Linked DNA regions of Lonchura striata. Each later gene encodes a partner of the first gene's protein in a complex. Links are inferred from orthologs where the notes say so. Each region holds a gene or a part of one and is shown in the gene's direction. Other genes may lie near its edges. The genes, in order: MED1, MED31, MED19 and MED18.

What was found.
Region 2: MED1 (region 1) and MED31 share a complex: the UniProt entries of both Homo sapiens proteins name them as parts of the mediator complex. The link is inferred for Lonchura striata from reciprocal best matches to the Homo sapiens genes MED1 and MED31.
Region 3: MED1 (region 1) and MED19 share a complex: the UniProt entries of both Homo sapiens proteins name them as parts of the mediator complex. The link is inferred for Lonchura striata from reciprocal best matches to the Homo sapiens genes MED1 and MED19.
Region 4: MED1 (region 1) and MED18 share a complex: the UniProt entries of both Homo sapiens proteins name them as parts of the mediator complex. The link is inferred for Lonchura striata from reciprocal best matches to the Homo sapiens genes MED1 and MED18.

What each region holds. Positions count from the first base shown.
Region 1 is NC_134627.1:7,131,721-7,138,628, reverse strand, and holds the start of MED1 (mediator of RNA polymerase II transcription subunit 1), read left to right. Parts: upstream 1-3,887; 5' UTR 3,888-4,255; coding exon 4,256-4,472; intron 4,473-5,893; coding exon 5,894-6,000; intron 6,001-6,908. Other genes in the region: CDK12 (cyclin-dependent kinase 12), read right to left, coding at 1,705-2,744. UniProt on the Homo sapiens protein: Component of the Mediator complex, a coactivator involved in the regulated transcription of nearly all RNA polymerase II-dependent genes.
Region 2 is NC_134622.1:11,673,519-11,681,187, forward strand, and holds MED31 (mediator of RNA polymerase II transcription subunit 31), read left to right. Parts: upstream 1-4,665; 5' UTR 4,666-4,755; coding exon 4,756-4,765; intron 4,766-5,271; coding exon 5,272-5,349; intron 5,350-5,957; coding exon 5,958-6,054; intron 6,055-6,788; coding exon 6,789-6,981; 3' UTR 6,982-7,171; downstream 7,172-7,669. UniProt on the Homo sapiens protein: Component of the Mediator complex, a coactivator involved in the regulated transcription of nearly all RNA polymerase II-dependent genes.
Region 3 is NC_134608.1:53,110,883-53,118,166, forward strand, and holds MED19 (mediator of RNA polymerase II transcription subunit 19), read left to right. Parts: upstream 1-4,658; coding exon 4,659-4,857; intron 4,858-5,142; coding exon 5,143-5,399; intron 5,400-5,472; coding exon 5,473-5,569; intron 5,570-5,649; coding exon 5,650-5,744; intron 5,745-5,867; coding exon 5,868-5,930; 3' UTR 5,931-6,765; downstream 6,766-7,284. Other genes in the region: TMX2 (thioredoxin-related transmembrane protein 2), read right to left, coding at 2,504-2,638, 2,740-2,869, 2,978-3,043, 3,130-3,236, 3,311-3,387, 3,522-3,635, 3,794-3,854, 4,244-4,432. UniProt on the Homo sapiens protein: Component of the Mediator complex, a coactivator involved in the regulated transcription of nearly all RNA polymerase II-dependent genes.
Region 4 is NC_134642.1:13,964,586-13,969,874, reverse strand, and holds MED18 (mediator of RNA polymerase II transcription subunit 18), read left to right. Parts: upstream 1-3,843; 5' UTR 3,844-3,884; coding exon 3,885-3,957; intron 3,958-4,095; coding exon 4,096-4,649; 3' UTR 4,650-4,773; downstream 4,774-5,289. UniProt on the Homo sapiens protein: Component of the Mediator complex, a coactivator involved in the regulated transcription of nearly all RNA polymerase II-dependent genes.

The sequences.
Region 1 (6,908 bases):
TCCTTAGAAAGTTGCTCTGAAAGTTTAGGGAAGCAGCACAAAGTGCTCTGAAGTTGCTCCCATAAATCAGGGAAATGGAACTGCTGGAATTCTCTACTCTGAATTCTCTACTCAGCCACTTACACAGAGAGGTTCTCCTGGGGAGAAAACTCTTAGGATTGCTCTGCAGCTCCCAGTGGCTTCTCCCTGCTCAGGGCTGGACATTTCCTCAGCGCCACAACTCCGAGTTGTATCAGTGAACTGACACCTTGCACCTTCCTCACCCTTCCAAAGGGTGAGCAAATAACGTGTCAGAGTAGCACCACCAGGCAAAAAGGACTGAAGGGAAGGAGCAGAAAACTACCCAGGCCTATCCCTGAGAACCTCCCAGGTGTACACAGAGAAAACAGGCCAGAGGAGGAGCAGCCTGGAGGAAATTTTCACTGTAAAAATCACAGTGGAATACAGAGATTTTACGTCAGAGCTTCCAGGGGGGTTGAAACCAAGACAGAACTGCCAGCAAGGACAAAGGCGAGCTCTCCATGGAAGACAGCACTCCTGAAGTTCAGAGCTGCAGTAACAAAGACCAAATTCCAAAAGCCCCGTGTGCTTTGGGAACTGCTGAGCTGCAGGATGCAGCACAGCAACCAGGGAGCAGAGCATTCCTATGGCCATTGCATTCCAGGTCACATCTGAATTGCCATGGAGCTCCAAGCAAAGCTCCACAGCATCCATGGAGACAACTGGAAACTCACTGAACGTTAAGCCAGGGCTAGAGAAAGAAAAGATCAACATTAGACTATGTCACAGGATGATTAATGAACACCTGAAATAAAACGCACAGAGCTACCTTGAAATAATTGTTTCCTTCTGGAGCAAAGTTACTGAGTAAAAGGGGAGAGAAAATTAGAGATAAGCCAAAATCCAGCTGGTTGCTCCTCGCCCTTCCAGCCTGCCCACATTTCAGAAGGGAAGAAACTCTAGTGCTGAGAAAAGAAAGTTTAGGCTGAGAGATGGAGTTTGCACGTGGCTGCCTCTAATCCAAGGGGAAAGAAAAGACAAACCAGTTCAGGAAGAGCAAAATCCACCCCAAACGAGCCCTCCTGAAAAGCAGGATCACGCTCCCACACGCAGTAAACAGATAAAGGCTTCCAGAAATAGGTGAAAACATTCCCCGTGGCTGAAGTTCCCAGCAGGTAAGCGCCTTAGATCCTGCTCCGGGAGCCTCCCCACGAAGGGGCCACTCCAGAGGTGGGTGTAACTTAATCCCAGCAGCTCCTCCAGCCTCCCTCCCTGCCCGCAGCCAACATGGACGCTGCCTCCCGCCAGGCACAGAGGCGGTTCCCAAAGTGTCAGCCCCATTTCCAAAGGGAACGGTCAAAGCTCCCAGCCAAAGCCAACTCCACACACGGCACTGGGCAGCAATGGGGAGGAATCACGGAATCACGGAGTGGTTTGGGTTGGAAAACGCCCTGAAGAGCATCCCATGGGTAGGAACACCTTCCTCTAGCCCAGCTTGCTCCAAGCCCTATCCAACCTTGGACAACACCATGGATGGAGCATCCACAACTTCCTCAGGCAAGCGCAGCAGGGAACAATTTTTTCCCCAATATCCCACCTTAAACCCACCCTCCATCAACCTGAACCCATCCCCCCCTGTATCCCATCACTCCAAACTCTCCCGAACTCCCTCCCAGCTCCCGGGGCGAGGCGGGGCACACGCACCTGGCGATGGGGCTGCGGCTGACGGAGCGCTTGGAGGCGAAGGGGCTGCTGGAGCGGCGGCGCCCGTAGGGGCTCGGGGACCTCCCGCTGTAGGAGCCGCTGCCCCGCTCGTAGCTGGACGAGCGCCTCCGGCCGTAGGGGCTCACGGATCGCTGCCGCCGGCTGTAAGGGCTGGGCGAGCGGGCGTTGGACTGGTAACCCACGGGCTCCTTGTAGGGCGGGCTGAGGGATTGGCGGCGTGAGGATCCGCCGGGGCTTTTCCTGTAGGGATCGTAGGTGCTGGAGGTGTGCGAGCGGGGCGGGCTGAGGTCGTATTCCTGCACGTAGGAAGCTCCCGAAGGGCTGTCGTCCAGTTTTGGGCTGTCCGACCATTTCCTGTGAGGGCTCCTGGATTTCCTCTTGGGGCTGTCGATGGTTTTGTAACTTTTGGGAGCATCCCTTTTGCGATGGCTTTTGCTGCGCTCTTTGTGGCTGGACTTGAGCTCCCGCTCCTTCCTGGATTTCTCCTTGTGCGCCTTGGCCGAGCGCGATTCCTTGTTGCTGCTCTTGGAGGAGGAGAGCGCCTTGGGGTGCTCCTCGCTCTCCAGGAGCCTCTTGGAGGATCCCGAGATCCTCTCCTTGGCGGACCTGCTGGAAGCATCCAGGCTCTTTTCCAACTTCCTGTCCTTCTCCGCCTGTTTGCTCTTCATCAGCTCCCGGAGCCGCTTGTGCTGGTGGTGCCGGTGCTTCTGGGCCCTCTCGCTCCTCTCCGCCCTCCTCTCGTCGTTGTCCCTCCTGTCCAGCTTGAGGCCCACATCGTCCGAGAAGGTGTCCGAGTCCGAGCTGATGTCATCGTACTCCACCAGCGGCTTGATCACCGCTCCCAGGGGCGCCGCCGCTTCCTGGGCCGCCAGCGGGGACTCCTTGGAGTGCCTGGACTTGTGCCTCTTGTGCCTGGAGCCCGCCCGGTGCCTCTCCTTGCTGTTGGAGCCGCCGCCGCCCGGCTGCGAGCACGCCCCGCCGCCGTCCTTCTTGCCCCCATGCCTCTCCGGGTTTGGCATTCCTCCCCCGCTGCGCTCGGGAACGGCGAGGGGCGGACTCGGCGGAAACCCCCAACTTCAAACTCCCTCCGCGCCCGCCCCTCGCACCATCCACGCCGGCCTCGCTGCTCCCTCCTCACACGGGGAGCGGGGCCCGAGCCCCGGAGGCGGCGGGAGGGACGGGCCGGGGCGGGGGGGGGGGAAGGAGCCGGGAGGGGAGGGGGAAGCGCCGCGGCCTCACCGCCTCATCCGAGGGGGGCCCAGGCCCGGCGGGCAGCGCGGCCGCCCCGGGAAGGCGGGGCCCGGAGCGCTGCCCGCGGCCTCAGCGGCGGTGGCGGGGCCTGGGCGCGGATCCCCGGCCGAAGGGGCCCCGGAGCCGCCGCCGCCCCCGGCGCGGCCCCCGCGCTCTGCCCGAACCGGAGCGGCGCCGTCCGGGGGGCGCCGCCAACTCTCGCGAGACCCGCCCGCAACTCTCGCGACAACTCCGCCGCCGCCACCCCTCCCTCCTTCCCTCCCCGGCGAGTCCTCCTCGTCCGCGAGTCCTCTCGGGGGATGGGCGGGGCCCGCGCGCTCGTCCTCTCGCGAGAGCCGCCAAATCGCGCGGCGGCTCCTTCCCAGCGAACTTTAATCGGGGCGCGGGGCGGGGACAGCGCCCCCTAGCGCCCGGCCCGCAACAAAGCTCCCATGGCGGCGGCGCCGCCGCTTCCGCCCCGCCCTTTCCCGCCGCTCTCCCGCTCCGCCGCGCCGCGCCCTAAAGCCGCCGGCGGGTGGCTGCCGAGCCCTCCCCGGCGCACCGCCGGCTAACGAGCGGTTAATGCTCCGTTAGGGGCTGCGGAGCGGCCGCCGCGCTTCCAGGGCGCTGAGGGGGCGGGGCGCGCTGGCCGCCGAGCCCCGCCCCGCTCCCGCGGAGTCTCGCGAGAGCGCGGGAGCGCGGCCGCGGGCGCAGCGATGGCGGCGGCCGCCGCCGTGTGAGGGCGAGGGCGGCCCGGCCGCCGCCGCCGCTCCCGCTCCCTCTCCGCTCCCTCTCTCCAGTCCAGACCAGCCCCGCGTTTGCAATATGAAGGCCGCGCCCGGCAGCGCCGAGGGTGAGTGCGGCGCGAGGGGCGCGGGGGTTCCCGGTTCTCCGTGAGGGAAGGAGGGCGGCCCGGCGGATCCGAGGCTCCGCATTCGGGTTGAGGTTGAGGTGGCGGCCCGGAAAGTGAAACGGGCGAGGGTCACAAAGGTGGTTTGAGGTGTGGGGAGTCTCTGTGCGGAGGTGGAGGGAGCTGGGCCTGGTTGCTGTGGAGGAGAGGAGGATGAGGATGCTATCAGTCCGGGCAGATATCGCTAGGGGCTGTCAGAGCCCTGTTCAGACTCTGCTCAGCGGCAGGACGAGGAGAAACGGCCGGAAAATAAAACACAGCAAGTTCCACCTCGGCATGACGAAGAGCTTCTTTCCAGGAGGGTGTCCAGGGAGGGTGAGTGGTCTCTGGGCACATTCCAGGTGACCCTGCCTGGCTGGGTGATCTGCAGAGATCCCTTCCAGCTCTCTCATGGGATTCTGGACAACTCAGTGTTGGTTGAGGAGGGGCTTGGACCAGGTGAGCTGCAGGGGTCCCTTCCCACCTGCAGCATCCTGTGTTGATGCAGCTGAGAGGTGTAAAGTGCCTGAAAACAAATCCCGGAGTAGCTGGGGTTGGAAGGGACCCCTGGAGATGATCCAGTTCAACCCCTCTGCCAAGGCAGGGTCAGCTGGAGCAGGGGACACAGGTGGGTTTGCAATGTGTGCAGAGCAGGAGGCTCCAGAACACCCAGCATTCATTCATTCCTTCCTTACACTTGGGTTTGGAGGGCTCAATGTGAGGTCTGTGGGCTAGCAGAGCATCAATCAGGAGCCCAAACTGTGGAATTTTGGCAGGTGGAAGTCACAGGCTCCTGTGAGGTGACACTAAAATGTCATGTCTGCACTGGACCCTCTGGGGCTGGGGACAGGGTTTATTCTGGAATGACGTCCACTGGGATGGTTTTTTTGACGTGAAAGTATGAAAAGCTCTGTCTCTTGGCAATAAAACACTGGATTTCAGTGTTCATGAGAACCATGTTCTCTTTATCACTCATCCACTGCTTCATCCCCCCCAGCACATGGAGCAGCACAAGGGGACAGCAGCCCTCAGCTTGGAGCTGATTGTGGAGCCATGGGATGTCCTGAGCTGGAAGGGACCCCCAGGACCATCAAAGCCCAGCTCCCATCCCTGCACAGGCACCCCAAAAATCCCACCCTGTCTCTGAGAGCAATGTCCAAACATTCCTGGGGCTCTGGGCTCTACAGGAATCATCAACCCAATTCCTGGCCCTGCACAGGCACCCCAAAAATCCCACCCTGTCTCTGAGAGTGATATCCAAACATTCCTGGAGCTCTGGCAGCCTCGGGGCTGTGCCCATTCCCTGGGGAGCTGTTCCAGTGCCTGAGCACCCTCTGGGAGGGGATAAAAATTCCCAAAATCCAGGAATCATCAGTCCAACTCCTGGCCCTGCACAGGCACCCCAAAAATCCCTGAGAGCGTTGTCCAAACCCTCCTGGAGCTCTTGGGGCTGTGCCCATTCCCAGGGGAACTGTTCCACTGCCTGAGCACCCTCTGAGGGGGGGAAAAAACTTCCCAAAATCCAACCTGAACCCCCCTGGCACAGCTCCAGCCGCTTCCCCATGTCCTGCTGTGGGGCAGGAACGTGTCTGAGCACAGAATTTGGCAGAACTGGCAGCTGGAATGACTTGGCTGAGGTTTTTGATGGTGGAAGGTGTTGAGGACCTTTCAAGAAGTTGGGGGAGAGAGACCAGAGAGGGGATCCAGGACACAAAACCCACCTCACTGCTTTAACCCCGTGTTTCCCACAGCCTCAGTTTCTGGGGATCCTCTCCTGACAGAACTGAACCTGCTGAGGCCACATCACTCAGGGATGGTGCAGAACAGGAGCTGAGCATTTTCCAGGAAAATCCATAAGATTTTCACAGTCCTTTAGTTTTAACAGCCTGGGAGATTCCGTAACACTTAACCTCACCTCAAGCTCTGGGGTTAAACCAGCAGTTAGCAAATTCTTTGAAGTCATTTTCAGCTTAAAGGTGGAAAGTTTTGTGTTGTTTAAGTGGTTTGCAGAACTTACCAAAGTTGGCTCACTGTGTTCCTGTGTGACAGAGGCAGAGAAGCTGAACAAGATGAGCTCCCTCCTGGAGAGGCTCCACGCCAAGTACAGCCAGAACCGGCCCTGGACAGAAACCATCAAGTTGGTCAGACAGGTCATGGTGAGCATTGCTGGGCTCTGAGCTGCAGCTCCTCTGCTGAAGGATTTCTCTTGGGTTTTTAGACCTTTTCCAGGTGTTTTTTGTTGTGTCCATGTGTCATGGTTTGATGCTGGTATCCCCGTGAAAATGCAGCTTCTTAATTGGATGCTGTGAAATGTGATTGAGAATAAAGCAGGCGAAGCTTAATAACAAAAAGGAAAAAAAAGCTTTATTAAGCTACTACTGCTATATTAGTATAAAAGAAAAAAAAGAAAAGCACACATAAAATTTGAAATTAAAACCTTTCAAAACATTCCTCTTCTTACTATCTAACTTTAATAAACTACAGTGACACACATTTGGACTCTTAATGAAGTATTTACCTTTTAATATATAATCAATACTGAGTCTAAGAGGGGACAGAGGAGTCTCCCTTGCACTACAGACCCCCAGGAAACACAGCTGCCACCTCTTGTGTTTCTGTGTCACACGTGGCACTGCCTGGAGAGAATCTGCCAGTGTGACACTCCTCTTTTTGTCACTGTGCTCTCACCACCGTGCATGGACAGAGACTGCTCATTGGGCTCCTTTGAGGATGCTTTGCCAAGGACCAAGAGGAACAACAGTCTAGTGTTTAATTTTGGGGCTACAGTCCCCCCCATTTTCCTCTAGAGCCTTTAACCCCTCTATATTAAGAGCATGTCTACTTTCAGTTGGTTATTCTAAGTGTCAATATTTACACCTGACCCCTGACTACATCAACTTCTTCCTGCTGAAAAGATTCTTTTTCTCATGTCAAACCACAGCACTGTGGCTTCACTCTCTCCTGAGTGGTGCAGGGGAGGGAGGGATGTCCAAACCTGCCCAGCCTGATGTGCCTTTCCGTTCCCTAATTAGTGTTCAGTGCCAGGGAAAGAGTAAAACCTATA
Region 2 (7,669 bases), on another chromosome or scaffold:
GTGATGGTCCTAAGGTAGTGGCATAAAATAATCTGTTTGCCCCTCACTTTAAAGCACGCACCCCCAGCACCCACAGAAAACATGGGAGTATCCTCAGTGTGGGCTTTGTCAGGGCAGGTTATTCAGCCACCCTGAGTGAGCAAACTATTCCCATTTTACCATATGAGGGCAGAGTGTGATTCCTTGTGGTCAGTGAGTCTGTCAGCTGGCCAGCTGGCAGCACAGCTAGCAGTGCCACCTCTAAGGCCTCTAAGGAGCTAAATTAATGCTTTCTTATTTTCTGCCCTCTTTCTATGGAACCTTGGCTTTTCCTTTCTTCTCTCAAAATACCAATTTACCAAAATATCAAGTTGCTAATGCTGTTTCTGCAAATACTGAGTGTCCCAAACCTGCAGCATTGTGATCTGGGCTGCACAGGGTTGCACAGGGTTCCTGACTGATCATGTACTAGTGTGCAAACTTGTTCCCACAGTGTACTAGTGCTTGGGAATGGTCTCACAACTGTGAATGAGTTAATGAATTACCAAACTACAAGAAAACATACAAAGAGATAACAAAGGTATTTCCTGCCCACACGTTGAACATCTAGATCTGTGAAATAGAGAAGAAAAACCTTTCAGCATTCTCTACATGATTAGAACTTGTCCCCAAGATGAAGAGTGGTCAGATTTGTTGGTGTCATCCACTGAGTTCAGAGCAGCAAGTAGTGCATTCCAGTTGAGTTCTGATCTCATTTGAACTCAGTGTTTGGCTTATTCAGCCTCTGTTTTCCAGCTCAGGTGTGTTGCCACTTGAAATAGCAATAACCTGGTTGTAGCCAAACCCAACATTTGCTGACAAAGTTGGAATTGGACAGTTGGTGAAAATCAGCCCAGAAAAAGAATTAGATCACTGCATCAATCCTAGCCAAAATGCAGGAGTGGTTCCTCTTCCTTTCTACTAGTGACATATTGTATACATTTTTACATACTTCACATCTTTTTTTTTTTTCCCCTGTCTGTGCTAAATATGTGAAGAAGTGGGTGGTAATGAATCCTGAGCCCTTGGATCAAGTGACAGAGTTTTCACAATGTTTTCCAGTGTGGGTGAATAAAAGTGTGATTTTAGACAAGTCTGATCAATCTCTTTGTGCTATTGAGAGGTTTTCAACACTTCTTGCACCACAAGGCCACCAGTCTCCTGCCAGACAGGCTCAGCATTTGCCTGCATGGTTTAGTGGCAGGGTGCTGATTCTCCTGTGCCCAGAAGAACCGTATCAGTGGCAGCTCCTCAGTGGCAGATCAGACCTTCCCCTTTGTGTATCTGTACCTGTCCCTGAGTGAAGGGTCTGTGACACAGAGAGGGCTTGCCATGCACTGCAGACTGCCTCTGCTTGGCACAGAAATTCTGAGGGAAGTACAGCCCTTACCACTGGGAGCACAGAGTAAAGGTAGGCATACCATGGTGCCCTGAGGTGATTTGGGACTGCTAAATACAATGTTTGGTAGTTATTTAAAAATAGAGATGACTATACTGAAGCTATTTTCCCCCCATTTTTTCTAGAGCATTTAGTCAATAGCTGCCCATTATGGTGTAAATGTAGATTTACATTTACTGTGGATGCTGGCCATAAGAAAGAGGCTGTTTCTTCTGTCAGAGAAAAGATGTTATCCTTTCCCAGTTTACTTCAGTGCTTTATTTACCCACACAAAATTATTTCCCAGACTTATTTGGCACATGGCACTTCAATGAGTTTTCATAAGCTGTTTCAGTGAGTGTGAGCCTCATTACAGTGTTCATAAAACTTTTTTTACAGACAAACCATTTTCCTGAAAAAACTTAATGTTCCATATACTAAATCTAATTTATTGTTGTTTCCTTTGTGAGCTTTTCTTTGAGAACAATAACTTGGGTTGGGTCTTAGCAAATATTTTAGAAAGCCAGCTGAAGATCAAATTTCCACCAGAAACAAAGTTAACACAACCTTTCAACTAAGAAATTATTATTCTGGAGGAAATTTCTATTTTACTTCAATATTTTGCCTTGGCTATATGGTCAGAAATCAGAAACATAGGAATGTATATTACTCCCGGCAAATGGCTGATTTCAAATTCTCCTGCTGTCCAGGTGTCTTAATAGAAGCCCTCACATATTTTTAACCAACTCATTATGGAAAAACATAAAATGCTTTCTGACACATGACATTTAATCTTTAATTTATCTTTAAATTCTAGTGTTTGTCTGAAGCTGGAGGAGTACCACAGTCACAGAAGTATATGTGCCAGTGCCTTCAATACACCAGTCTTTTTACACTATTTCATCCAGTTTGCAGCTTGCCTGAACGGTATTTAGCATCTGTGGATGAAGTGGTTGCACACGACTGTTATTGGCCTTCTGAAATGCACATTACCTGCCAGTTTCTTGACCTCAAAAAAGTGAACTTAGTGAAGAGTTAAGCCTTTAATTAAATATGTTCTGACAATTGTTTTAGTCACTGAAAACTATGATTTTCTTTCTATTGAATTACAATTATAGCATTGGAGTAAAAAAATTGCAGACTTTGTGCTGGCTTGTTATATATATAACATAATGCATACTCTGCTCTCTGTTATTTAACCATATTTGAAGCAGGATGCTCTCCATCTACAGAAGCTGTCTTGCATTCTGTGGGTAAAATCCTGTCAGATGTCCATGTTAGTATCAGTTTGCATTCTATTCCAAAGCAATGGGTAAATGGGAGTGAACAAGAGGGGATGTCTTGGGTTTCATGCACCGGTGTAAAACATTTCCCTATTTCATCTCACTTGATCAGTTCTCAGTGATGAAATTGATGGAGCTTTTTTCTCTCTGGTGCAGATGCACTGCACAGTGGTGTCACAGAGGAATCTTTTGCAGCATTTCTCTTCCTCAGCGTTTACCTTCAAGATTCAACAGCATGCCAAATGAGACTTTATTTTCTCTTGTGTCTCATAAAACCGTGGTGGCTTCAGGTCCCAGAAGTGGCTCAATTTAAGAGCTGTGTCTCTATGCCAGCTCTAATGAGTTAAGATAAACTTACTGTCCTAAACCATCACATTTCTGGGCAGGCAACAGCAGTGACAGCAGTCTAGTCTATGAAAGGAGAAACTGAGGCAGCAATGTCATCCTTGTTCTATGACAATAAGACAAATTTCTGGCTCACAGTTATATTGACACATGTCCTGCAAGTTTGGCTCACCTGACATTTAAAAACAAAACAAAACTAAACAAACAAAAAAAACCCCAAACTTTTCTTCAAGAATGTTCTCCTATATAAAATATTTAAACTATAAAATCTCCTATACTAAAATCCTGATTTTCAATTTTATTCCTAATTTTGATGGACAAGAATTGAGATGTTTAACTTAACTTGGGCAAACCTACATTGTAATTTATTTTTGTGACCAATCCTTTTTTAGGATTCTCTCCTCTGAAGTCACTCTTGGGAAAGAAATCCTGTTCTAGAATAGCAATGCAGACACGTGGGATCTCTTTGATCTCTTCTTTTAGATCAAAGTCTGTGTTTACTGGGGAGTGACTTGTTATGTTTTAATATAGTAATAGTAGTATTCCACAACCACTAAAATGTTGCCTAAGAAAGCAACTCTTTTTTATTAAGAAAAAAACTATGCATGAATCCTTTTTATATGGTTTTTGTAATGCAATTCCCAGGGGAAAATTCATACTGCATAGGAAAATATAGTATTATAGAAAATTGCTATGTTGGATGCCAAAAATACTTCAACAAATTAAAATTGAAAATAATTAAAACAACAAAAAAAGGAAAAATTAGAAGGATTTCAGGTAAGCCTGTAGAGATTGCTTCCACTGCTGCTGCTCACTCAAGGAGCATTTGCTTGTTAATGGTTTTATTCTGAGACAACTGTGTTTTAATTAATGAAGAATTAAGCGTAGAGGTTGACAGAAATCTCTTTGGCTGACTGTAAAGTCACTACGAAAAACAAACAAACAAAAAAGCCCTGCAAAGTTCCCAACTTTGTCCAATATCCAGTATTTACCATTAAACTTTAAATACAGTTTAGTGTTTTAGTTGATTCTAAAAGTTGATTCTCTCCACTTCCTTTTGCTCTGGAAGGGATGAACAGTGGCTTTGTGTAGTACAAAGCTAAAATGAATGTTCTGCAAATACAAACAAAACTTCATCCTCTTTTTATCCTTCGCAGCTCAAGGGGTATCTGGGGAAAGAACATGCCTGGAACAGTGACCGCAAAGCCACACTCGCTGGCTCTGGGACTGACTGGGCCCTGCGGCACACGGACGAAACTCTGCCCGCGTTCATGTTCGGGAAGAGCCGTGGAGCTGGAGTCCCAGGAATGGCACTCTGGACTCGCACTGGGTCCCCTGGCACAAGCAGCGCGGGTGGCACTGGGCCTTTTCCCTCAGGCGGGGAAATTCCGCAGGACCGGTGGCTGCGGCACACAGCGGCGCCGCCGCGCCCCGTCATGGCCCCGCCCCGCCCGCCATGGCCCCGCCCCTCCCGGTCATAGCCCCGCCCCTCCCGCCATTGCCCCGCCCCTCCGGTCATAGCCCCGCCCCTCCCGCCATTGCCCCGCCCCTCCGGTCATAGCCCAGCCCCTCCCGCCATTGCCCCGCCCCCGACGCGCCCCGCCCCCGCCATGGCCCCGCCCCCACCGTTGCTAGGCAACGGCCGCTGCGTTCCCAGCGTGCCTAGCGTTGCATTTCGCCGGGCCGTAGGTAGGGGGCGCGCTCGCCGCTGTCGGGTGTGTGCGCCCGGACATGGACGCAGGTGCGGGAGCGGGCAGAGCCGGAGCGGGGCCGGGAGCGGGGCCGGGAGCGGGGCCGGGAGCGGGGCCGGGAGCGGGGCCGGGAGCGTGCGGGGCCGGGAGCGTGCGGGGCCGGGAGCGTGCGGGGCCGGGAGCGGAGCCGGGAGCGTGCGGAGCCGGGAGCGGGGCCGGGAGCGGGGCCGGGAGCGGGGCCGGGAGCGGAGCCGGGGAGGAGCCCGGGAGGAGCCCCGTGGGGCCGCTGTCGCCGCCGCTCGGAGCCGGCAGGCCCCCGGAGCGCCGGGCGTGCCGGGCCGGCGCAGGTCGAGCGGGGCGCCGCACGGCTCCCCTCGGAGCCCGCAGCCCAGGGCCTGTCCCGGGTGCGCCCTGGCCGCGCCGGGCCCGCGCACCGCGCCGTTCGCTGCCGCCGGCCGTGGCCCTCACCCGCCCCAGCCCGCTTTGGTCCCGGTACAGACTGCGAATGCTTTCAGTCTGTGTGGGTCCAATTCTTACTGGTTTTGTCTTGAATCAGATGATACAGGAAATCGACTTCGATTCCAGTTGGAGCTGGAGTTTGTTCAATGTCTGGCAAATCCAAATTACCTCAACTGTGAGTACTTAAAGTAAATACCACAACCTGGAAGAGTTAATATAGTGCAATGCTGTTTATTGTTACCGGTAATGTTGAATATGGAGAGAGGGCTAAACAAAGAAAAGGGTTTTCACAGCATGAAACTAACCTGTAAATTATTTGTTTAACAGGTGGATTTTTTTTTAAAATGCAAAGTCTTTTGTTAGTTGGAATGCAAGAAAAAAAAAAAAAGGCATTTATTTGATGGAGGAAGAAAATAACAAGTTCCAGTCTGTTATTAAAAAGTAATGTCAAGTTAACAGCATTCCTTTATCTGAAAACAGAATTTTACTAATGTGAATAGTTTTAGGTACTGTGCATAACTCTGTTAATTTTGATGCTACTGTCAAAGTTTTCTTGTTTCAAAAAGCTGTTCCATTCAATGAAAGATACAAACTATAAGGGAGATGAGGCCAATCTATTATTTTCTTGACATAAAAATCTTATTTTGCCCTGTGGTTTTTTAATTTGCCAAATATAAATTATTGAAATTTGATTGTAATGAGAAAGCTTTGACTTTGTGATTTTTTTTCAAGTAGGCTGATATTTTGCACCCATCTGTAACTGTCAATTCCTTGTCATTTCAGTTCTTGCACAAAGAGGCTACTTCAAAGATAAAGCGTTTGTAAATTATCTTAAATATTTACTTTATTGGAAAGAACCTGAATATGCAAAATACCTGAAGTAAGTACTAAATTCCCTTAAGTTTCTGCATTTTAATGGTTTGCCATTGACCTCATTTTGAACACTGTACAGCAGCATGATAGGATTTCATTTCTGCCTGTAGCATTACTTTTGTCCTTCCTGCAACATAGATTATGCATATGGTTATATGCAATGTAGATTCCCCTGTTTCCAATAGTCCACATGTAGCAGCAATAGGCAAAATTATAAAAATTTCATGAGTTTTGCATAGAATCTTCCTTTAAAGCCTTAATCTGCACTTTCGATTGGTTTAAAATCAAACTATTGAACATTAGGGCAAAAAAGCAGTAAGTGCATTTTAAGATCAATTGTGCATTATTGATGCTTGCATGAGACAAAAGATGATTTTTGTGTTTTTGCAAGTGTGCTAATGCCTTCTGTTTTTGGGAAAATGGTTTTGGTCATCTTTAATTGGGCTCTGGAAAGAGGCCTTGTAAAGCCTGTTGGATGGATGGATAGATTTGGTCTATCAAACCAAGCCATTGGGGAAGCTACTGTAAGTAAGCAGGAATGTGCATTTATTACTGGAATTGGTTGTCTTGTTTCCTGGCCTGATGCTGCAGTTACCAAGTCACAGTGTTCATGCTGAAGTCGTTTCACACTTGGGTAAAGCACATATGAGTCAAAACTAACGACCCACAGAAGTACTGGAGACTCTAGATTTAGTGTCCCTTGTAAAAACCTGTATTAAAGTGTGGTTATTTTTAACCCAGGTATCCTCAATGTCTGCATATGCTAGAGCTGCTTCAGTATGAACATTTCCGCAAAGAGCTGGTCAATGCTCAGTGTGCCAAATTTATTGATGAGCAACAGATCCTCCACTGGCAGCACTATTCCCGGAAAAGGATGCGCCTCCAGCAGGCACTGGCTGAGCAGCAGCAACAAAACAACACCTCTGTAAAATGAAAAGCACACAGAGTAGTGATGATAAGGTGTACTTTGTGTTAGTGAAGTATTTACAGGAGGTGAATGAACCCTTGTGCAAGTTTGGCTCTGGCTCTGTGCCTTTTATTTGAATTTATCAAATGACTAGGGTTGTTTTTGTTTCATCAACTCCTTTAAAAACTAATAAACACCTGCAATTTATTTTACAGCATGGACAATTTTGTAAGAGCTTTACTACAATAGTTATTGATTCCTCTTGATTTTGAAAACAAAATCTAGATTTGTCACTTACCAACTCTCTACAAAGAAGTGTAGCTCTAAAGGCTGTTCCTAGGAAACCTTTTCCCTGGAGAATAATGATGTATCTTAAGAGAACTCCCTGCTACTTACAGCTCTGGGACAAGCAAAGGTGAAGTGATGATAGACAAAGTCAAAACTGTGCAGTTTTTCCTTGAAACCAAGCTGAGCTATTACATGTCACTTCTGTTACCCTGGCAGTCATTGTTGATGGAAGTTTGTTTTCCTTACAGCACATTGTACGGATAGAAATCAGGAGTGTACAGGGTGAGGTCTGGGGAGTGGAGCAGAGATAAATGCTGATAAATTCTGCAGGATAGAGAAGGAAACAAGCTGTAGCTGTCTCTGTTCTATTAAACTCAGCTTCCTTGCATCTTGGCCTCTGCCTGTAAAGCAGTGGCTGCTCTGAAGT
Region 3 (7,284 bases), on another chromosome or scaffold:
TGCAATCTCCTGGGAAAGACTGGGGTGAGCAGGAAGGGCTGCAGGGCAGTAACAGCCACTGTTTCTTTGCAGGCGAGGCAGTGGTGGCCCACTGCAGTGTTCTCTCCGTCTGCAGCCCCTTCTTCATGGAGCAGCTGGGCCGGGAGCTGCCCCCCCAGGGTTGCAGGGTGGCGCTGAAGCTGGCGGGGCTGAAGATTGGGGTGCTGCGCAAGCTGGTGCGCTTCTTCTACACTGCCGAGCTGGAGGTCACGCAGGAGGAGGTGCACGAGGTGCTGGCAGCTGCCCGCCGCCTCCGTGTCACCGAGCTCGAGTCACTGCAGCTCTGGGGAGGACGCCTGGTGAGACTGAGACCCCAGCGGCAGCTCGACCGCTCCTGCCTGCATTCCACTCAGGAAGTCTCCACCGTGGGGGCACCTGACTCAGCTGAGCCTGGCAGTGCCAGCTCTGCGGTGTCCCCCCAGAGGCAGCCACACTCTCTGGGGCACTCACACCCCAGCCCCATCGGGCGGATGAGGCTGCGGAAGGTGCAGCACTGGGGGCACTGGGAGGTGGTGCAGGAGGCCGTGCCTCCGGCAGTGATGGTGGGGGATGTGGGGGTGACAGAAGCACAGCCCCCCCAGAATGTGGATGCACGGGAGCAGGTGAGCAAGTGCTCCCCAACCCAGCAGTCCCCCAGTGAAAATGGGATGCAGCAGCATGGGGACTCCCCTGTGTCCTCGCAGGGCTGCCAGCAGGCAGTGCTCCCAGGAACTCCTGGAAGTGACACCAAGGAGGAAGAGGTGGATGTGGGAACAGGGGAACTATTCCTGCCCCCTGGCACAGTGTGCCTCTGGCCCAGTCCCTCATCTGAGTCAGAAGAGGAGGTGGATGTCCTCACCTAGAGGGGGCTGGCTCTGCCTCTCCCCCCACCAGTGCCTGTACCCCTTGGGCTGCATGTCCTTGGAATAAAGGGCTGAAGCTGTGCTGTGGAGTACTAAACTTTATTGGAGATTGGGGGGACAACGGGGTGTGGAGGGAGCCAGGGGTCTGGCAGTGGCAGAGCTGCAACATCAGGGACGGGACTGGGGCAGGTGGATGCCCCCACTTGGTCTCGCCTCTTCATGGACGCTCATGCCGTCTGTGCCGATCCTGGCTTGGCTGTGGAGAGAGGGAAGTCGGTCCCTGTTGGTCCCATCCCTGCCCTATCCCATCCCAGTCCCATCCCCGCTCACCTGGCCAACACCTCTATGCCAAGCTGCTCTTCAGGGCTTCCACTACTGTCTCCGGCTGGGGAAACTTCAGCTTGCGGGGGGGCCCCTTCCCGATACCGCTCCACAGCTCCACGGCTGCAGAGGTAAGGGAGATTATGGGATCAAGGGTGCCGGGGAGCCCCCCGCCCCCCTGCCCAGCACTTACTGCTGCCGTCCTCCTTCACCAGGGACACCTCGAAGCTGTTCCTGCGCGGCGGCCGGGGGTTGATGTCCACGGGGAGGTGCGCCATGGCCCCGCGCAGGGCCGCGCTCACCGCCGCCGCGTTCCGCCCGAACACGCGTCAGCTCTTGCTGCGGGGACACGGCGGTCAGCGACCCCGGGGCACCCAGGGGCCTCACACCGCCCTCGGCGCCTCGGCCGCTCACCAGTGCTCGATGACGACACGGGGGCCGATGTCCCCGGGGCTGCACTCGTCTTGGGCTTGGGCCTGGGCCCGCGCCCGCTTCTGCGGAGCTCCCGCTGTCTCCGGTGCCTCGGCCGCCGCCGGCTGCTGGGCTCCGCGCTTCCTCCCGCGGGGAGCCATCCTGGGACAGCCGAGGCGGTGGAGCCTACGCCGGCTGCAGGAATGCCACTCCGGGGTGAGAAGGGAGCTCAGGTACCACGCTGTCCGGGGAGTGAAAAGTGGGTCCCTGTGGGGACACTACTGTGGGAGAGGGCCCGGATGGGCCAGTCCCCGGCGATGCGCCACGGGGGAAATGAGGGCCCCCGCCGGGATCCCGCTGCGGAGGGCGGGAGGCGGCTCCGCAGGGATCCCGCCGCGGTGTGCGGCTGGGGGGAGCAGGGCGGCGGGGCCCGGGGCAGCAGCGGCGCTCCTACCGGCCGCTGGCCACGTGCGGGAGCGCGCGCCGCCGGGGCGGGGCCGGAACGGGCGGGGCCGAGGAGGGCACCGGAGCCTCCGGTGGGCTCCGGTTCCGCCCGCGCCGCGCCGGCCAATCAGAGCGCGCCGGCTCCGCACGGCCCCGCCCCCATGCGCGGGCCCGGGCCGGGGACACGGACACGGACACGGACACGGGTCACGGGACACGGCACGGACCGTTTATTGTCAGCGATGGATGATGAGCGAGCGTTAACCGAGGCGGGGCCCCTCCTACCGCCCTGCCCGCACGGGGCCGGGGGGCACCGCCGCTTTCCCGGGGCTCAGCCGGGACAAGTCCGCACGGAGAGCGGCTCCGGGCGGGGCTGGGCAGGCCCGCGGGGCCGCTGCCACCAGGCTGATGGTGACATAGTGATGGGCGACAGTACAGGGCAGCTTCTACTTGTCCTTCTTGGTCTCCTGAGCTGCAGCGGGCACGGCTGGGGGCTCCTCAGGTCCCTCCTCCCGCGGCTTCGACTGCTTCTTGGCCTTCTGGTAGAGCTCGTTGAGGTTGAACTCCCGGATCACATTCTCCTGTGGCCAGGAGGTAGCATCAGCACCACTGGGACCTCGTGCTCCCCCCTTCTTCCCAGGCACAGGCTGGACAGAACAGAGGGCTGCAGGGTCCCACCCACCTCAGAGAAGGTCCAGGACACAGCCCGGCCCTTCTTGTCGATCTGCGGTCGCCGCATGATCTCTGTCCCACCCTGGAAGAGGATGAGGGTGGGCAGCTGCTTGGTGAGAGGCGAGGTGCTGACCTTGTACCTGTGTCAGGACAAGCCCACAGTGACCCTCGGGCAGCTTGAGAGGGCAGGAGGGTCACAGGGACTACCCCAGAGCGAGCCTTGCTTGCCCAGGCTGCGTTCCCCACACCTGGTGCTGACGTCCGTGTACCGGCCAACATCCACCTTCCCAAACTGGAGTCCTGAGCAGTTGTACCTGGGCAGGATGGGGACACAGGGCAGTGAGGGACACAGGGGACCACAGGCCCCGTTACCCCCAAGATTCCAGTGGGTGCCACTCACTTGAGAGAGAGGTCGGCGAAGATGGGGGCAAAGGACTGGCACTCACTGGACCAGTTGGCAAAGAACTCAACAATCCACGTCACCCGCTTGTCCCTCTCCAACTCCTCCTGCCACAGGGGCATGGGCTTAGGGGGGCGAGGGCAGAGACCACCAAAAGCCCCAGGGCTGGGGAGATACTCACATCGATGGTCTTGTCACTGAAGTACTTGATGTATTCGGGGCCCATGTAAAGGGGTGGCTTGCAGGTCATCAGGAACACTGGAATGACAGCACCCTGAGCCCCCCAGTGCCAGGAGGGCCAGGCTGGGCCTGGGACAGAGCTCCTCCACCCCAGAGCAGTAAGGGGGAGCCAGGAGAAGGCGGATCTAGGGCAAGAAGACATGCAGGCTCACCTATGCAGAGAGTGAGGTAGAGCAGCCCCATGCGGATGTCAAGGCGGAAGAACAGGATGGCGTTGGCCACTTTGCTGAACATGAAAATATTCCCGATGTGCTGCTCCACGGTGACTGTGATGTGGAGACAGGAATAAGGCATGGGACCAGATGCCCCCAGAAGGCTGGGGGAAACTTCAGGGAGGGCTGGATCTGGTCCTCCAGACACCACCCCGTGCTCCTTGAAGGAGACCCCATAAGCAGCCCCAGCCCCCCAAGTCCCCCTGACTCACTGGAGCGCCGGTTCTTCATCATGACAATGGCGCTGAGGAACATGAGGATCTCCACCTCCCTCTGGCACAAAGAAGGGACAGCATGAGCTGGAAGTGCCCAGGACACCTTGAAGCCATGCCTGGCCTGGCACAGGGACCCGTGGCCGTGCCAGGCCCTACTGTTCCCAAGGCCCTGCCACAGCCCAGAGCCTTCATCCCCCCCGGGATGAGAACAGCGAGCAGAGGGGCTGCCCTGGGGCCACGAGCCGGACCAGAGCCTGGGGGTGCCTCTCGGCTGTAAGGGAACACCGCAGAGCATCGCCAGGGGCTACCGGGCAACTCCTCTCTCAGCCAGGCCGGGGTGCTGTGTGAGCAGGAGGGGAGCCAAGCCAGGGCCGGGGCTGTGGGGACAGGACCGGGGACAGCCCAGGGATGCGGGGACAGGCCCGGGGACAGGCCGCACCGCCTCACCCAGTCAAAGTCACAAGGGTTGCCATCCTCCCGCTGCGAGGGGAGCCCGCGGCAGAGCGGCGGGACCTTGCGCACAATCAGGAAAGCGGCGGCGAGCAGCGCGGAGAGCGGGTAGTAGGGCTGGGCGAGCCATCGGCAGAGCCCGGGCAGCCCCCAGAGCAGCGCCAGCAGCGGCGCCACCACCGCCATCTTCCCTCCGCCCCGCTCACTGCCGGGGGCGGGGCCTCCCGCGCCGGCCAATGGCGAGCGGCGAGGCGGGCGCTCCCGCGCGCGCGGACCAATGAGAGGAGAGAGGGGAGCGGCCAATCAGAAGGCTGGGATGGGTCTCCCTTAGCAACGGGGGGCAGGGGCGGTGTGGGGGCGGCGCTCGGCCAATGGCGGGGCGGGGCGGCCCGGCGCGGGGCACGCCGGGAACATGGAGAACTTCTCGGCGCTGTTCGGCGCGGCCGAGCCGCCGCCCGCCGCCGCCGCCGCGCTCGGATTCGGGCCCGCCAAGGCGCCGGGTGCCGGAACCGCGCCGCCGCCCGCTGCCTCGGCCGCCGCGCCGCCGCCGGGCGAAGACGCGGCCCGCAAGGCCGCCGGCGGCCCCTTCTACCTGCTGCGAGAGCTGCCAGGTGCGGGCGGGCCGCGGGGCGGGGCGGGTGCCGCGCTCGGCCAATCAGCGCGGCGAAACGCGGCCGCGGGGGAAACTGACGGCGCCAGGAGCCAATGAGGTTGCGGGGGCGGGGCCGCGCAACGCGCGGTCCGGTGGGGAAGTGGGCGGCGGGGGCGCCCCGGGGCCGGGGGTCCCGGTGCTCGGGGGCTGCAGGGGGTCCCGGAGCCTCGGCTCGGCTGGGGAGAGGGGCCTGGGCTGCCGTCGGGGCGTTTCCCCCGCGCCAAGTTTTCCTGCGGCCGCACAGGCACTACGGAGCTGACGGGCAGCACCAACTTGATCACACACTATAACCTGGAGCACGCCTACAACAAGTTCTGCGGCAAGAAGGTGAAGGAGAAGCTCAGTAACTTCCTCCCCGACCTGCCCGGCATGATCGACCTGCCCGGCTCCCACGACAGCAGCAGCCTGCGCTCGCTCATCGAGAAGCCGCCCATCTGCGGCAGCTCCTTCACGCCGCTCACGGGTGCCATGCTGACCGGTTTCCGCCTGCACGCCGGCCCGGTGAGCCCCGGGCTATGGAGCCGGAGGGGCGGGAGGGGCCCGGCGTGGTCTGACCAGTCCTTTTTCTCCACAGCTGCCCGAGCAGTGCCGGCTGATGCACATCCAGCCGCCTAAGAAGAAGAACAAGCACAAGCACAAACAGAGCCGCACGCAGGACCCCGTCCCCCCAGGTAAGGCTGCCACAGCCGCTCCCCTGCTCCCCTTCAGCACTGGCAGAGCATCGGCTCATCTGGCGCTTCTGCTTCTCCAGAAACCCCCTCAGACTCCGACCACAAGAAGAAAAAGAAGAAAAAAGAGGAGGATCCAGAGCGGAAGAGGAAGAAGAAAGAGAAGAAGAAAAAGAAGGTGAGTGGCAAGGCCGGGGTGCAGTGCCCAGCCCGTGGACCTCGGAGGGGCGCTGTGAGTTGCCATCCCCAAGGGGCTGCTGCCCAGCAGCTCTCACAGTTTCTGTCTGTCCTTCCTCTGCAGAACCGGCACAGCCCGGAGCACCCTGGGGTGGGCAGCTCCCAGGCCAGCAGCAGCTTACGGTGAAACCACGCCGGTGACGCCCTGGGGATCCCCTGGCCCATGGGAACAGCCCCGGCTGACCCCAGGGACACTGGGGCTGGCCTGTCCCCCCGGCTAAGAGGACACCCCTGCAGCCCCCCAGCACCAGGGGCACAGACTCTGTGGGTGCTGACCTTGAGCTTTTGTACCTGAAGAACCTGGAGCATCAAAGCCTCTTTTTTAGTCACCTTTTAAACTCTGCTGTGAGGAGGGGCTGGTGGCCATGGCTGCTGTGACCCTTAGCTGTCACAGTGGAGCCCCAAACAAAGGTGTCCCTGGAACGTGCAGGTGCCCTCCTTTGGATCCGAAACCTCACCAGCACCCACGATACTTTCCCTGGAGCCTCTTTTCCCATGCCTGGAAAATCCTTACCTTCTGTGGGAGCAGAGTTTGCCTCAAGTTGGAGCCCCCCCAGAACTGGGCCAGGCTCAGCTCTTACCAGACCCCCTTCTCTCTCTCCCTCGGGAGGGGGGGCAAGGCTGAAACCCTGAGGATCAGGAGCCTTGGAGGGGCTGCTCCATCCCTGGACACCAAACAAAGCACACGCACAGCCCCGGGGTGGCTCATTAAATATCCTTTTATTCCTTGTTTTTAAAATGGCTGATAATAATAAAAAACCCTGGCGTGGCTGTGTGGGGCCACGGGAGCTATTGCCGTAGAGAAAGAGTCCGGTAGTGCCGGCAGGGCTTTGGGGACAGGGAGCACAAGGCTCCTTGGCTGTGTTTTTTTGGCATGTGATGAGAAAATATTGCTTTCCGGGGATGCACCTGCCTCTTCCCCGAGCGAGCGGAAATAAAAACACCCCTGCGACAGCGAGAAACCTCCTCGGAATCATTAACAGAAACAAAAAAAGGCAACAAAACCAACAACCCCCCCGACCACAGCACCTGGGGAAAGAAAGAGCAAAAACTGCGGGTGGGGGACACTGGGGCTTCTGCACCAGCTTGGGATGGGGGTGTGGGGTGCTGTCCCCACCTTACCTCCACCCTGGGCCCCCCAGGGGGGCTGGAGGCTGTGGACACCATGGATCAGGGAGGGGAGTGTCCGAGGATGGGTATCTGGCACCCAATGGCCCCCTTCAGGGACGAACAGTGACACCCAGCACCTACCACAGCTCCTTCCATGGGTGCAGGAGGCAGCCCCACGTCCCTCCTTTGGGGACAGGGACAAGGTGGGGGGCCCAGGCCCTGAGCAGGGTAGTTTCTTCCTCTCTCTGGGTAAGATATATAATTTCTGCTTCTTTTTTTTTCTTTTAATATTTATATTTATATATATAGATATTTATATATACACACACCTGGTAACTCGGAAAGAGAAAAAAAATAGAATCCGTAACAAT
Region 4 (5,289 bases), on another chromosome or scaffold:
AGGTTTATACCTGCTGAAAAAAGACGATGGTTTGGGATCCTGTCTTGCCTCAGGGCAAGTTCATGTTCTTGTCAGGTCCACCTTGCCCTGCAGAGTGGTGACACTGCATCCAGTGACCCCCCTAGCACTGACAGTTCCATACTTTGTCATCCTGCCTGGGGATGACTGCTGCCCCAGGCTCACCTTGCTTACACCCTGTGGAATGGGGGAGGCCTGCTTCCAAAGCTGACCTCACTTCAGTGCTCCAAGGCTTTTGTATTACATAACACAAAACTACTTAGCATCCTATCTTAACCACCAGCTTTACTTCAGTCTGCTCTTAAGCAAAGCTTTAGCCCCAGGTTGCTCCCATTCCATTCCCACTAGGATTCAGGCCTTCTAGACAAATATGGTAGGTAGGTAAACAACCTTATTGTTGTTTGCCCCCACTCACGTAGGACAGGAAAGAGTAAAGGCAAAAATGAGAAGACATAGATTCAGATGGAGACTGCTTAGGAGGTAAAGTGAAGCCACACCCAGAAAGCAAAATAAAGAATTTATTCACAATTCCCTATCAGCAAGAAGAGCTTTGGCACACTAATAGTTATTTGGGAAAACAAATGCCATAACCATGAATGTCCCCACTTTCTCATCTTCTTCCCAGAGCTTTTGGTGCTGGGCAGAATGCAGTCTGGTATGGAATATTGGTGTGGTCAGCTGGGATCAGATGTGACTCCCTTTGTTCCTTCAGAGCCTCTTACTTGCCTCTAGCCTACTCACTGGCAGTGAATGCAGGAGAAAAAGGACAAAAATAAAACCTTGATGCTGGCAACCCCTCCTCAGCAACAGCTAAAGTACTGCTGTGTAACCAATGTTCTTAGTCACAAATCCAGAACACAGCCTCATACAGGCTGCTATGGAGACAACTACTTTCATCCCAGCCACAGCCTGTATAAAAATAGAAAATCTGGATCTTGGCACCAATACCCACAAGAAGTGAGATCCACAACAGCCAAGTAAACATCAGCTCTTAGCATCAGAGAAGAATATGGGTTGGAAGGGACTTAAAAGAGCATTAATTTCCAACCCCCCTACTGCTGGCAGGCACACCTTCACTACACCAGAGAATTGCAGAATTGTTTAAGTTGGAAGAGAATTTTAGAATCATTGAGTCCAACTCTAAACCTAACATTACCAAGTCCACAGGCTAAAAAAGGCATCAGCCTGATGTACCTGACATGTTCCTTCCTGACACCCTTCCTGTTGTGTGGTCTGATGACACTCAGTGAAACAGACCTGATGCAGTTTTCTTCCTCTCCTGGAGGCCTCTCCCATGGACACAGTGCACCAGACAGAACCTGAGTGTCAACAGAAGCCAGTCATGTTTCCTTTCTCCTCCTTGCAGCTTTCCTTTCCTTTGTCCTCCAGCTCATACCAGGCAGCAGTTGCAGAATGGAAAAAAATCACCTCTTTCTTTATCCTTCACCAGAAACATAAGGTCAGGTTGCTCAAAGCCCCATCTAACCTGACCTTGAACACTTCCAGTCATGGTCCAGCCATAACTTCCAAGTTCCAGCATCTCAGCACCCTCACAAGAAATAATTTCTTCCTTACTCAGTTTATCCTCCTGGAGGAGAATTCTACAAGGTCAGTCCACACTTTCACAAGCTGGAACGTCAGGATAAAATTAACCATGACTGCACTGGGAGGGCATGACTATGCCATTTCTCATTTGCAGGTCTTTGGCTTGTACCAGTATTTATATAATTTTTATGGGGGGTGTCAGGGGATACCACCACTGTGTAGATACTGATACATGAAAAATGGACATACTGTTCACATTCTGTGTGGCACAAAGGTTTGTTACACAAAAGACTGCTAAGGGAAATGTCACATTTATAACTCTGTTTTGGGTATTGACAGGAGTAATTTCAGCTGGTACATACTGGGCATTTCCATCACTTTCTGAAAACGGGCTTTTCTGCATAGAAATGGTGTACATCCTACCAGGCCCAGATGAGATTTCTGCCTTCTGCTGCAGGAGCTGAAGCCTGGCCCACAACACCCCAGAGCATCAGACACTTTGCTGTCGCTGTGAGACAGATTGGATCATTTTTGGTGGATATTTTCCACAGAATTAATTGCATGTGCCACCCTGGGGAGTGATGTGGGTGCAGCCACAATGACCCCTGATGGCTGGTCCTGCCTGCTGGCCTCCCAACCCTCCTGCTGTGCCACCGGCGCCGAGGTCAGGCTGGCAGCAAGCCCTTTGAGATTTGGGGCCCTCAAGATTTGAGGTCTCAAGATTTGAACCAAACTTTGCAATTTTTTTTTTTCCAGTTGTTAATCAGAAGCTGTAGCTGAACAGTTATGATTAAGCAATCGCACTGTGAATGTTGCATACTTGGCTCGTCTTTTGCTTTGAGGAAAAGAGAAGAGAATCCCAAGATGCAGGGACTCTCTGGATGAGATCTGCCAGGAGTGAAGTCAGGATGCCAGGAGCTGACTGAGGGAAGGCAATTCCACCACACCCTGACCCAAGGGAGGCAAAACCACGCCTGCAGACCAAAAGGGCTCTTCTCATGGAGAAGCAAGACACACAACTAGAAAATAGGGTTTGAGTGCTAATTAGGAGAAAAGTGGTATAACTTACAGCTAACAAATGCTGACACCTTGGTTTGTTAAAAGGTATAAATAGTGTAGAGGTTTGATGATCACAGAGCCAGCCTTTCGTGGGTTACCTCCTGATTCCCGGCTTTGGGCAAACTAGAATAAAAGAAAAAACACGGCATCACAGAATCGTTAAGGCTGGACGGGACTTTTGCAGATCATCCAGTCCAGCCCCCTTGCTGAGGCAGGGTCACGCAGAGCAGCTGACACAGGAACACATCCAGGTAGGTGTTGAATGGCTCCAGAGAGGGACACTCCACAACCTCCCTGGCAGCCTGCTCCAGCGCTCGGCCCCCGGGCGGTGTGAGGAGAGCGGGGCGGTGTGAGCGGAGCGGGGCGGGGCGGTGTGAGCGGAGCGGGGCGGTGTGAGCGGAGCGGGGCGGGGCGGGGCGGTGTGAGCGGAGCGGGGCGGTGTGAGGGGAGCGGGGCGGTGTGAGGGGAGCGGGGCGGTGTGAGCGGAGCGGGGCGGTGTGAGCGGAGCGGGGCGGTGTGAGCGGAGCGGGGCGGGGCGGGGCGGTGTGAGCGGAGCGGGGCGGTGTGAGCGGAGCGGGGCGGGGCGGGGCGGTGTGAGCGGAGCGGGGCGGTGTGAGGGGAGCGGGGCGGTGTGAGGGGAGCGGGGCGGTGTGAGCGGAGCGGGGCGGTGTGAGCGGAGCGGGGCGGTGTGAGGGGAGCGGGGCGGTGTGAGGGGAGCGGGGCGGTGTGAGCGGAGCCGGGCGGTGTGAGGGGAGCGGGGCGGTGTGAGCGGAGCGGGGCGGTGTGAGCGGAGCGGGGCGGTGTGAGGGGAGCGGGGCGGGGCGGTGTGAGCGGAGCGGGGCGGTGTGAGCGGAGCGGGGCGGTGTGAGCGGAGCGGGGCGGTGTGAGGGGAGCGGGGCGGTGTGAGGGGAGCGGGGCGGGGCGGGGCGGTGTGAGCGGGGCGGGGCGGTGTGAGGGGAGCGGGGCGGTGTGAGCGGAGCGGAGCGGGGCGGTGTGAGCGGAGCGGGGCGGGCGGTGTGAGGGGAGCGGAGCGGGGCGGTGTGAGCGGGGCGGGGCGGTGTGAGCGGAGCGGGGCCGGGCGGTGTGAGGGGAGCGGAGCGGGGCGGTGTGAGCGGAGCGGGGCGGTGTGAGGGGAGCGGGGCGGGGCGGTGTGAGCGGAGCGGGGCGGGCCGGCGCCGCCCCCGCCCGCCGGGCCGTTAGGGGGCGCTGCCGCCGCTCTGCGCGGCGCTGCCGGCGGGGCCGCGGGGCCGGAGCGCAGCGCGATGGAGGCGCCGCCGGTGACCATGATGCCCGTCACGGGCGGCACCATCAACATGATGGAGTACCTGCTCCAAGGTAGGCGCGGCGGGACCAAGCAGCGGGTGGGGGGCTGGCGCCGCGCACGGGCGGGCCGGAAGGCGCTGGGGCGGGCGCGCCGCGTGCGGAGCCCAGCTCGGCCCGTGCGAGGCGACGGTCGCGGCGCTGTCTCCGCAGGGAGCGTGCTGGACCAGAGCCTGGAGAGCCTCCTGCACCGGCTGCGCGGGCTGTGCGACAACATGGAGCCCGAGACCTTCCTGGACCACGAGATGGTGTTCCTGCTGAAGGGGCAGCAGGCCAGCCCCTTCGTGCTGCGCGCCCGGCGCTCCATGGACAAGAGCGGGATGCCCTGGCACCTGCGCTACCTGGGACAGCCCGAAATAGGCGACAAGAACCGCCACGCGCTGGTGCGAAACTGCGTGGACATCGCCACCTCCGACAACCTGACGGACTTCCTGGTGGAGATGGGCTTCCGCATGGACCACGAGTTCGTGGCCAAAGGGCACGTATTCCGCAAGGGCATCATGAAGATCATGGTGTACAAGATCTTCCGTATACTGATGCCAGGAAACACAGAGAGCATCGAGCCGCTCTCCCTCTCCTACTTGGTGGAGCTCAATGTCGTTGCGCCAGCAGGGCAGGACATTGTTTCTGATGACATGAGGAACTTTGCTGAGCAGCTGAAGCCTCTAGTACACCTGGAGAAAATTGACCCCAAAAGACTAATGTGATTGACAGTCTGGGGCATTAAGGCACTGGTTTTGTGTTTCAGAAAATGATGTTTTTCTAAAAAGCGTTTTGTGGGCAAATCAAAACAGGGAGAAGGGAATAAAGTACTATGTATCAGTTTTGGCAGCTGCAATTCCTGAGTGTTTTTTTCTTTCACTTGTGAATATGAGCAGAAGTGGACACTTCAAATTAGCACTGTTAAAAAAATCAGTAAATGTTAATACCCATAGTGTTCTTTCTTTTGCATGGGAGATAACTTTAAAAGCCTATTGCCTAACAGTCTAAAAATGTCAGACTTACTGGAATTCATCCCTCCGTGTACTCAGATCCCACTGCTGTCTTAAGATTTTTAAAGCACAATTTGTGTATCCTACTTAGTCATCCAAAACTTTTCAGTAATAGAGGAAGTTAATACTGTTTAATGCAGGAGATGCTGTTTCACACAAGCATAAACACAGAAACTGCTGCATAAAAGGGCAGCTAACTGTACACCTCTTCACCAAAGCTTATGTGACAGGAACAGGTACTTGTTAGGGAAACTGTTTCTTATGATGTAACCGAAGTTAGAAGTAGAAGAAAATCTAGTAATATTAACATTTGCAAGTGGTTTTTCCCATCTTTTAATGGTCTTCCATTATTTTC